Linked DNA regions of Caenorhabditis elegans. The protein of the gene in region 2 purifies or fractionates together with the protein of the main gene of each other region. This does not show direct contact. Each region holds a gene or a part of one and is shown on either strand. Other genes may lie near its edges.

What was found.
Region 1: the proteins of lin-10 (region 2) and rab-6.2 purify together in Caenorhabditis elegans (affinity purification with western blotting, with the first as the bait; one study listed by BioGRID). This does not show direct contact.

Annotation. Positions count from the first base shown.
Region 1 is NC_003284.9:17,220,571-17,225,194, forward strand, and holds rab-6.2 (Ras-related protein rab-6.2), read left to right. Parts: upstream 1-1,904; 5' UTR 1,905-1,908; coding exon 1,909-1,969; intron 1,970-2,029; coding exon 2,030-2,142; intron 2,143-2,194; coding exon 2,195-2,300; intron 2,301-2,626; coding exon 2,627-2,738; intron 2,739-3,329; coding exon 3,330-3,484; intron 3,485-3,533; coding exon 3,534-3,604; 3' UTR 3,605-3,895; downstream 3,896-4,624. UniProt on the Caenorhabditis elegans protein: The small GTPases Rab are key regulators of intracellular membrane trafficking, from the formation of transport vesicles to their fusion with membranes.
Region 2 is NC_003279.8:8,116,236-8,121,287, forward strand, and holds the start of lin-10 (Protein lin-10), read right to left. Parts: upstream 3,080-5,052; 5' UTR 3,079-3,079; coding exon 2,928-3,078; intron 2,283-2,927; coding exon 2,044-2,282; intron 1,445-2,043; coding exon 1,355-1,444; intron 1,147-1,354; coding exon 1,095-1,146; intron 632-1,094; coding exon 408-631; intron 1-407. UniProt on the Caenorhabditis elegans protein: Required specifically for the determination of 3 vulval precursor cell fates P5.p, P6.p and P7.p during late second and early third larval stages; required for basolateral localization of receptor tyrosine kinase let-23.

The DNA.
Region 1 (4,624 bases), on a different chromosome or scaffold from region 2:
GATATCACAATGAACTTAGATACAATGGATAGGCATTGAAAAGGAGAACTTAAGTTTCGAGTCTCAAACGTTTTGAACATAAACTCGAATTTTCCTTCAATTTAAAGTGGTTTTCGGCCAGTACTTCGGTGTGCGCAAAAACAAGAGGGTGTGGTTTTCCGCTTGTGGAGCCGACAGGATGCTCCAAAATCAACCCCCTTTTAGATGAACACACGTCGCTATACTTTGTGAATGTAGAGAAAAAAGAATTTCAAAAATCGGTTCCGTGAGAGCCGAGATATAAACGTTCAAAGTTGTATTACACATTTTTCGGACATTTTTTGAACATTTTTTGAACACCGAAAACGCGTGTGTGTGGCAAGATGGGGGTTTTAGGAAGGAGGCAGACAAAAAAATTTGCCGAACGGAAGAGCCTCTCGTCCCTAGTCTGAATCTCACTGTTTGAATTTTGTTTAGACATTTCCCAGAGTTTGGACATGAATCTAATGACGATTCAAGTATCGTTTTCATTTTTTTTGCAATTCAAGTTAAAACATAATAAAACCAATCACGAAAATGCCTCCTACGCATTTATATCAAATTATGACTCATTTGGTCTCCTTCAGTGGAAATTAGCTATTTAAAACGGTGATTAAAATGCTTGAAAGTAAACCAAAAAAAAGTCATAAATGTTTTGAAGTGTTTTTTTTTAATTTTTACGTCTGTTTTCTTTAAATAATTTTCCTTTAGACTTGTTTAGATTGCTAAAAATGGATTAGGCACATTTTCCAAAGTTCATGGCACAGCTATAGCGAATTGAAGTTACTAATTAGAGTTTTAATATTATTATTTATGAAACAAATTTTTTAAGAACACATATTTTCTGTGAAGAGTTCATTTTAAAATTAGCTATCCATTTGAATATTGTTTTACGATTGTTTGCCGAAAATTATTCCAAAAGTTCCGAGACTTTTAGTTTCTATAGTTCGGATTATTCTGAATTCTGAACTAAAATTTTCAAATGTACAACTTTTCATGTTAATTCAAAAAATGACTCGTTTGCGCTGCTTTTGTGACAGCTGCATATTTGAAACACTGATAAAACTACGTTTTTTATTTAAGTCTGCAAAAATTGAAGTTAAAAAAATAAATCTTTGTTTTGGAAAAAAATTCAGTATTAGTATTAAATATTTCGATTTTTAACTGTGTACTTTTTTCTTTTAAAACCCTCTTTTTTTAAAATTATTTTTTAAAATAATTTTTGTATTTAATAACAGATCAGGCAAACAAATTGTTAAGAATTAATAGAAATTAAACTTCTGAGCTGCAGTTTCAGATTTGTTTGAAGTTATTGAACAAAAATCAAAATTCCGAAACGTTAAGTTGACCTCTATTCAAAAAACAAACAAAACTCCCTCATCTAAACGTGTTGTTATGGTCAGTGCGCAGTGCGCAGGTGTGGATTTACGAGCGGCCGAGGGGTCGGGTCTCGACGGGAAACCCCTTTCGCCTGAGTCTCTGCCCCTGCATATCGCTACGTGGTTGACCGGCTGAGAGGGGGAAAGTGTTCACTGCATAGCATATTTCCGTTTTCATAAACCTTTTACGGTTTAAATTCATCAGTTTTAGCTCGTTTCGCTTCAAATTTCTCATTTTCGTCTCCTTTTTTTTTCGTTTTCTACTGCTCAGTTGTTCGTAAAGCGAGGAGAGACAATCGATGAGAAAAAGAGACACAGATGCGGCCCAAATGTTGCATTTCTCCTCTTTTCCGTGCCTTACACCCGTTCTCCTATCGATTTTTGTCCCTGCGTGGCAGTGACCACATCTCTTCCGTTATTTTGTCTCGTGTTCGTGTTCCTCTTGCGAGAAGTTTCATTTATAATTTTTTTAAAATAAAACTTGATTTAATTTTAGAAAAATTACAGAAAAATGTCGGACTTTGGTAATCCGTTGAAGAAATTCAAGCTTGTGTTCCTCGGGGAACAAAGTGGTGAGTATTTTGATTGAAATTCTACCGTAGATATTGAATTCTCAAGTTTCTAAATTTCAGTCGGAAAAACCTCCCTAATCACTCGCTTCATGTACGACTCCTTCGACAACACCTACCAGGCCACCATCGGAATCGACTTCCTGAGTAAGACCATGTACTTGGAGGACCGAACCGTAAGAAATCAGTTTTTGCGTAAAGAAATGATTTCAAAATCCGTAATTTCAGGTTCGTCTTCAACTTTGGGACACCGCTGGACAGGAACGTTTCCGCTCACTCATCCCATCCTACATCCGTGATTCTACAGTTGCTGTTGTGGTTTATGACATCACCAGTAAGTTTGGAAGAAGTTTTTCTGATGTTTCATGCTGTAAAGCTTCACACTGGATCCTCTGGGAGAAATTTTTTAACTATAGTAGTGTATATAGTAGTAACTATAATAACTATATTGGTTTAATACTACAATAGTCACTGGCAGCTCTAATGCGAAAAGCTTCTAGCAAGAAGAGAAGCTCAAAAAACAATTTATATTGATAGAAAAGTTAGAATCCAAAAGGAAACCATTATTTTTTGTTTAATCTTGATTTTGAACTAGGGTGGGCAATGAAAAAACTCTCGGTAACGACAAAAAAGCTTCATTTAACCCCAACTTTTTTGCAGACTCCAACTCTTTCCATCAAACTTCCAAGTGGATTGACGACGTCCGTACTGAGCGTGGAAGTGATGTAATCATCATGTTGGTCGGCAACAAGACCGATCTTTCCGATAAGAGGTTCGAATGAGAGTTTCCGCTAAAAATTCAATTAAATTGTGTAGTGGAAACGGCGGAATATGCATTTAAGTAGCTCCAGGCTGAAGTTTTAATCGGCATAACTTTCAGTATGAAATCTTGGCTAGCTTAAAACCTTCTCTAAAGATATTGTTTGGAGATAGGAAATAGCTTTAACTGAAATTACGTTAACATAAATTGGATCTGCACTAACTTGAACTAGCTTCAACTGGACCTACCTCAAGTTTATTTTTTATAATCAGAGCCTACGCTTTTCAAGCCCAAGCTCTCTATCTCCAGCTCATCCTTAAACACAATTCAGTTGAACCTACTACATAAGCTACATAAGCTGAATCTCCCATAATTTGATTTTTCCTGAGCAAAATCTACGTTACATTAGGCTAAAAATGCGCATTCTAAACAGAATTAGTTCAAGCTAAACTTACCTTGCGCTGGCCTGTTTCGAGCTGATCTTGCGTGGTCTTAGCTGAACTATCTTTTTCTGAAACCTGTTAACCTAACTAATAAACTCAATGTGTAATGCTCCAGGTCTATTAATTTGTAACTGACATAAGACTTACATATTTTGTTCAGGCAAGTCACCACCGACGAAGGAGAGAGAAAGGCCAAGGAGCTTAATGTGATGTTCATCGAGACTTCTGCCAAGGCCGGCTACAATGTGAAGCAGCTTTTCCGTCGTATCGCCGGAGCCCTACCAGGAATCATCAAGGACGACCCAGTGGAGCCACGTAAGTTTTAAAAACCTTTTTAACTTCAAAAAGCCATGATTTTTTTCAGCAAATGTGGTCACGATGGACCCAATCCGTCAGCGTCAAATTGTCACCGACGAGGGATCGTGCTGGTGCTAATCTCTTTGTATTCCTGAGCAAAATGTCAAAAAAAGGTTGTGATACTCCAATCTCAACGCATAATTTATTTAAAGCATCCTCCGCCCCCGTAATGGTTTTGTCATGAAGAAATATTAATTATCCCCCTTAAAAGCGCTATCGCCAGTAAGTTTTGATATCTTAAAATTCCCCAAAAACATTATCGATTTTTTCTGTGTGAATGAACTCTGAATGGCTTCTTCTCTATTAACTTATGCGATGGTAAACATGTGTAATTTTCTTTGTAACATAATAAATTATTATTATTTTAAATTTTTTGCTTCTTATTTTTGCTTGGCTAATTTTAAGTGTGATAATGATTTTTTTTTGTTTTCATTTTTACTCTCCCAACATCTCTGTTCTCGAATAAATCTTCTCCGCTTTTGGTGTTAGACTAGCAGCAGTAGATCACGAAAAATGATGGGGAGGTGGAAGAAAAGACGAAAAGCAACGCAGTTTTAATCAAATATTGACTTTGTGCTTTTCGGTTAAGAATGAGCTGCTATCCTGAAAAGCAACACAATGAGGAAGAGCAACATATTTGGCCCGGAAAGATATATGTGAAACGTTGAAGTGAAGTTGGTGGAAATAAAGACAAAAAATTCATAATGTTGTTCAAAAATCGTCGTTTGCACATTGTAGATTTTTGATGAAACTAGCCCATTTTGGAATAATTTCAGATGTTTAAAAAAAAAAAGTCTTTCAGTTAAATAGCTACAAGTTCCAGATTCCAATTCAGTTGTTTCAGTTCAAGATTGTTAAAATTTCTTAAAATTTGTTCCGCTCAATGCCGTGCGGAAAATATCGGTACGACGACACGAAAACGGGCAAAAGTACTTGTACATTTTAGTGACGTAAATTGTAGTTCATTTATGCAAAATTTATACGCAAAACTATACCCGTACGAAAGATACAACTCCGTGAAAGGTATCGTCACTTAACGGTTTTAATTTAAACCGTTATTTTTTCAAATTAAACTCATATGCCTACTATTTCAAAGAA
Region 2 (5,052 bases):
GTTCCAAAGGGAAAAATATTCGAATTTTTGTTGGCCTCGATATCTAAAGTTCACAGTTCTAATGGTCTAATGCTTATTGTTTAAAAGTGGTGTAGCGCCAGTGGAAATTTTGCCAAAACATGTAGAAAGGTCTAAAAGAAAAAAGGTCTATCGAAATAAAACAACAGCCAAAAATGTTCAGGTTTTTTCAAAAATTTGTGTCAAAGTTTTGGCATATTCCAAATATTCGAAAACAGTTGTTATTTTTGGGAAAGTTGGAGGTTTCTTGCACATTCTATGCGCATACTATGTGACTCCATAAATTGAGTTTTTCACATTTGGCTTTAGGAACTTTGATCATAGATTTCAGTGAAAAACTTTTTTTTTTCAAGAATTAATTCTCAAAATTCCGAAACCGAACGACATACCGTTTTAATATTTTTATTCTGTGATCGTCGTGTTATCTCTTTTTCCATTTCACTCATTTGTTTTCGAATGAGTGAATCCGTTCGATCACCGGATAATTTCCGCTTTTCTTCACTTTTCTCCTCTCCTCCCGCTGATTCTTGCGAATTTTCAGGAGAATCTGATTTTTCGATGACGTCACCAATTGTCACATCGGATGACGTGGAAGTTGGTACAAGAAGCTCATCTGAAACATATTTAGGTTTGAAAATTGACAATTAGAAAAATGTTCAGGGGAAATCCCTTCAACTTTTCGTGTGGTCTCTAAGTTCCGTCCAGACATGATGGTGGGAGACGTACAACTCCTTTCGGACATGGAACAATTAGTAAATCGGCTGAGCAAAAAGAGAGAGTGTGAGATGATAAGAGACGCAGAGATATCTCTCTTGTCTCTTCTTCTCACCAAAATGTTCTCGTGTTACATGCTCACTTGTGACAAATGAGATACATGCTGGATCTTTTTTGAAGATTTTCTGAAGAACTTTTGGAAAATGCAATTTATTCGAAATTTTTAAAGTTGGAGTTTTACATTCCACTAGACGAAGAAGGAAACTTAATACGTTCTGTGAAAACTGTACGCCAAACGTTTGAGATAATGACTGATCTTCTGGCATTTGGCCTGAATTTCTAAAAGTGAAAAACCAACTAACCATTATTTTGAACAACGCCGCTTGTTTCCGTAGAATCTTCTGCTGGTCTCACCTAAAAATTAAAGACTGAGTTTGATTTCTAAACTAGAAGTATATTTTAATGAACATTTTTTAAAATTTTATCTTTTAAATTCCCGAACCACATTTATTTATTTTAGAGCTACAGGAAGAACATGAAGAAGCTCCCCAAGTCATCACTTCGCCTAATTTCCAGCGTTTTGCTTGTGAGTTCAAGTGTTTGGGCTCTGCCGTAAACGAACCTCTCGATGATTTGGTGACACATTAGAGGACACAACACTGCCAGCTGTCTGCCTTCCGTTATCGTCTTCTGAGCGATGAGATGATGATGCCTGAGAATACTTGAAGGTTATGAAGTGCAGATGAGAATTTTGGGAGCCATAAATGCATTGCTTTTGGTAATATATTTCTAGATCTATTTCAATGTCTAGAAATATCAAATACTGTTCTGCATCAATGCAGAAGCATAACTTTGTAATAAGAATTTGTGAACTTCTTGTGAGCTTGACTAGGTTACATCAAAATTAGAATTTCTAGCCGGCAGAGAGTGACGGAGGCGCCTCTCACACGCCTCGAGCGGGTGTCAGCCATGCATCATCAAACATCCAATAAGCATGTAATGTCTTAGGTTATTATATTGTGGCAAATTCGCCAAATCAGAAAATTATATGGTTTTTCCAGTTCACATGTTTTTATTGTGAATAAAACAATTTCGAGAGCTCTAAAAATAGTTCTTTCTGCAAAAATAAATTTCGCAACTTTTCTAGTTGTACAACAATGTTCCAAAATTGCGAAACATACATTTTCTGATGACTAATGTCATTTCCTTCATTTTTTTAAAGCTTATCAACCCCAGTTTTAAAAACTGCTTCTAATGAAAAATTGACAGTGTTTCAATTGTTTTTGTAAAATAACGCTTTATAAAACAAACCTGAGAAGAAGGTCTTGGCTGTTGAAGAGCCGGCTGAAATTGCATGGGAAACGGAATCGGAAACTGTGCTCCACTCGCGGCCATCATTTGTTGAAAATAATGATGCATGACTTCCTGATATTGAGCTGGAGAGAATACCATCTGAGGTTGAGCTTCACCCTCCTGAGCAGGAGCACCCGCTGTTGGAATATACGGATTCAAGAAGGGATTTGCGAAAAAATGACCAGGAGGGATCATTTCTGTAAAAAATCGAATATATTGAAGAACAAGCTTTTCCTATTTTAATTGTGTTAAGTAAGCAAATATAAATAACCAATGTCATACATTTTCATTCTGTGCACAGAAGTTTCCTAGTGCAATATATTTAAAATATTTTCTTATACTTCCGTGTAAAATAGATTTTTGTAGGGAAGGCAACATGAAAGACGTCCAGCCATATGAATAATAGCCTATTTTTGTGGTCAGGCGGCGGCGGGGAAAAATAAGAAGAAGAGGAGAAGACAGGGAATTTTTAATCGAGAAGGTTCGAAAAACAATAATATCCCCTCTATTTTTTCTTATTCTTCGAGTGAAAATATTTGAGGAAAGGTTGACCAAAACGAAGGAGCAATTCCTTACGAAAAGTTAATATAGTCTTACTAGGGCTGGCAAATCAGACTGAACCTATCTGGATTTCAGAGCCTTTTTTCTGTGTTATTGTGTTTTTTTCATATTTTTTTTAACTGATTTGATTTTGTCTTGCTTTTTCAAATATCTAAACATCAGATTTTTGAAGATCCGGGAATATTTAAACACACCATCTAAATTTGAAAAATGACACTCAAAAAACTTGAAGTCTGGTATATTTGTTTACACTTTAATTCAAAATCTCTTGTAAAACTAACGAAATGGGACTTGTTGTTGCTCTCCTCCCCCACCACCACCGGCTCCACCCCCTTTGCTCGGCGGAGGAGTAGGCGTGGCCGATGATGTGGGGACCCCGTGTTCAGGAGACGTCGTGGCGGCTGTGGCTTGTGCTACTGCTTCAGATGACATCCTGCAACAGAATTGTTCATGGTCCGATGGAAAATAGATAGGAAGATGAGGGAAAGAGAGAGGAAGCGGGAAAAGGACATGGATTATTGGATGCTCTTCTCTCGTCTCACACGCGAATTAATTAGAGCGATGAAGAAGAGGGACAAGAGAGAAGCAGACAGAGAGAGAGTTAACGTGGGAAAATTTAGAATTAACAATTGTCACCTCGAAGTTATAAGTTAAATTTTTTCCTAAAATGAGAAAATGGGAGATGCTCAAAAAGTTTTAAGATCGTGTTCGGAAGTACTGTAACACAACATGGAGTTCGAATCTACACAGACTTACAATTATGTAGTAAAAAATCTACATATCTACATATCTACATATCTAAAAATCTACATATTTTCACTCGGGAATCGCTCGCCCACTATGGGGGAGTCTACGCAAGGACAACGCAAGGACAAGGACAACATTCTAATGGAATGGAAACAATTGCCCGACTGCACCAATTCTAGTACAAGCGAACAATGATAACTTTTGTATTCTGTATTCCTTCACGTCTCCCAGCGAGCGTAATAAATTATTATTATTATTATATCTAAATAAAATACTTTCAAATGAAAATGTTGGTAAATTGCCAATTAAAAAAATTGGAGTTTTTCATTAATTTAGAGCAATGCTGCAAATGCGAAGACCTAGGTTCTAGGTTCACTTGTAAATAATTGAAGCGAACTTAAAATTAAACAATGTATTGGACCAATTATGATAGGTGGAAACTGATTAATTGCTATTAATGTAAATATAACATTTTCAAAAAATGTTGGAAAGTGTTAGAATGATATTTTCATCATGGGTGCACTATAGGTGTAGTTTTTAACATTTTTCCCACTGGAGCATAAGAAAAAAGAACAACAAGCGGAGACTGATCGTGAAACAAAATATACATTGAGGAAACCAAAAAATGCAGTGTAAGGAGTTCCCGAAGCAATATGTCGTGCCATGTATGCACGTCTTCTGAATGCCAATTCATTTGTCATGTTTCTTCGACACTCTAATCCCTACTTTCTCAGCCAAATATATGACACGTGTCGTTTTCTTTTTTTGCTGTTTCTTTTATGCCGTGCTTGCTAATCTCCAAAATATCGAGTGCTTTTTGGACTTTTGAGGGCGTTTGAAAAATATGTTTAACCAAACAATTGTATTAATGTAAGCCGCTAACTAAATGACTTTCAATTGACAATTTTCCAATTGTCGCTTTAGATGTTGAAAACGAATTTTTTCCAGATGTTGAAAATAAAGATAACTTCTTGTATTTTAGGACAAGTTCTAAAAATGTGAAAATATAACTGCATTGTGATAGAATTCCGCAAAGTATTTCTAATTTTTGACCTAAGCCATGGGAATCGTGAATGATCAACTAAATTCTTGGAAATAAATGAAAACATTAGAACAGTAAAAAGTTGAAGCTTTAAAACCTATTCGAGACGTTTCTCATTCGAGCAGCGCGGGGTTGAGAAAAATAGGGAAGAGGCGAGAGAAAAAGTGTCATAATTATGCTAATTCTGCTCTTTTCCATCGTTTTCCTTCACTCTCTCTTTCCATCCAACTCTTTTCCAGGGCACAGACAAAAAAGTATCAAAAACGGAAAGAATACACCAGATGACGGGATGAATGGGAATTTGTGATGGACGAATGGACAATACAAAACTGGTAGATGAACGAGAGAGTATATAAAGATGGAAAAAAGTGTGAATAATTTCACGTTTACTGTTATTGCGGAATAGATGGCAAAAAAGTAAACTTTTCAATTTTGAGATTAGAGTTCAAGCCGAAAATTCCGTTCAAAGTTAGTTCAAAGTTAAAAAATGTTGAGAAGTTTGGCACTACTCTACGTTTAACTTTCAAATATTTTGAATTAATAACTGTATTCGTTTCTCAATTACTCATCAAAATTTAAAACTATTTCAATCGCCTCAACAATATCCCATACTAATC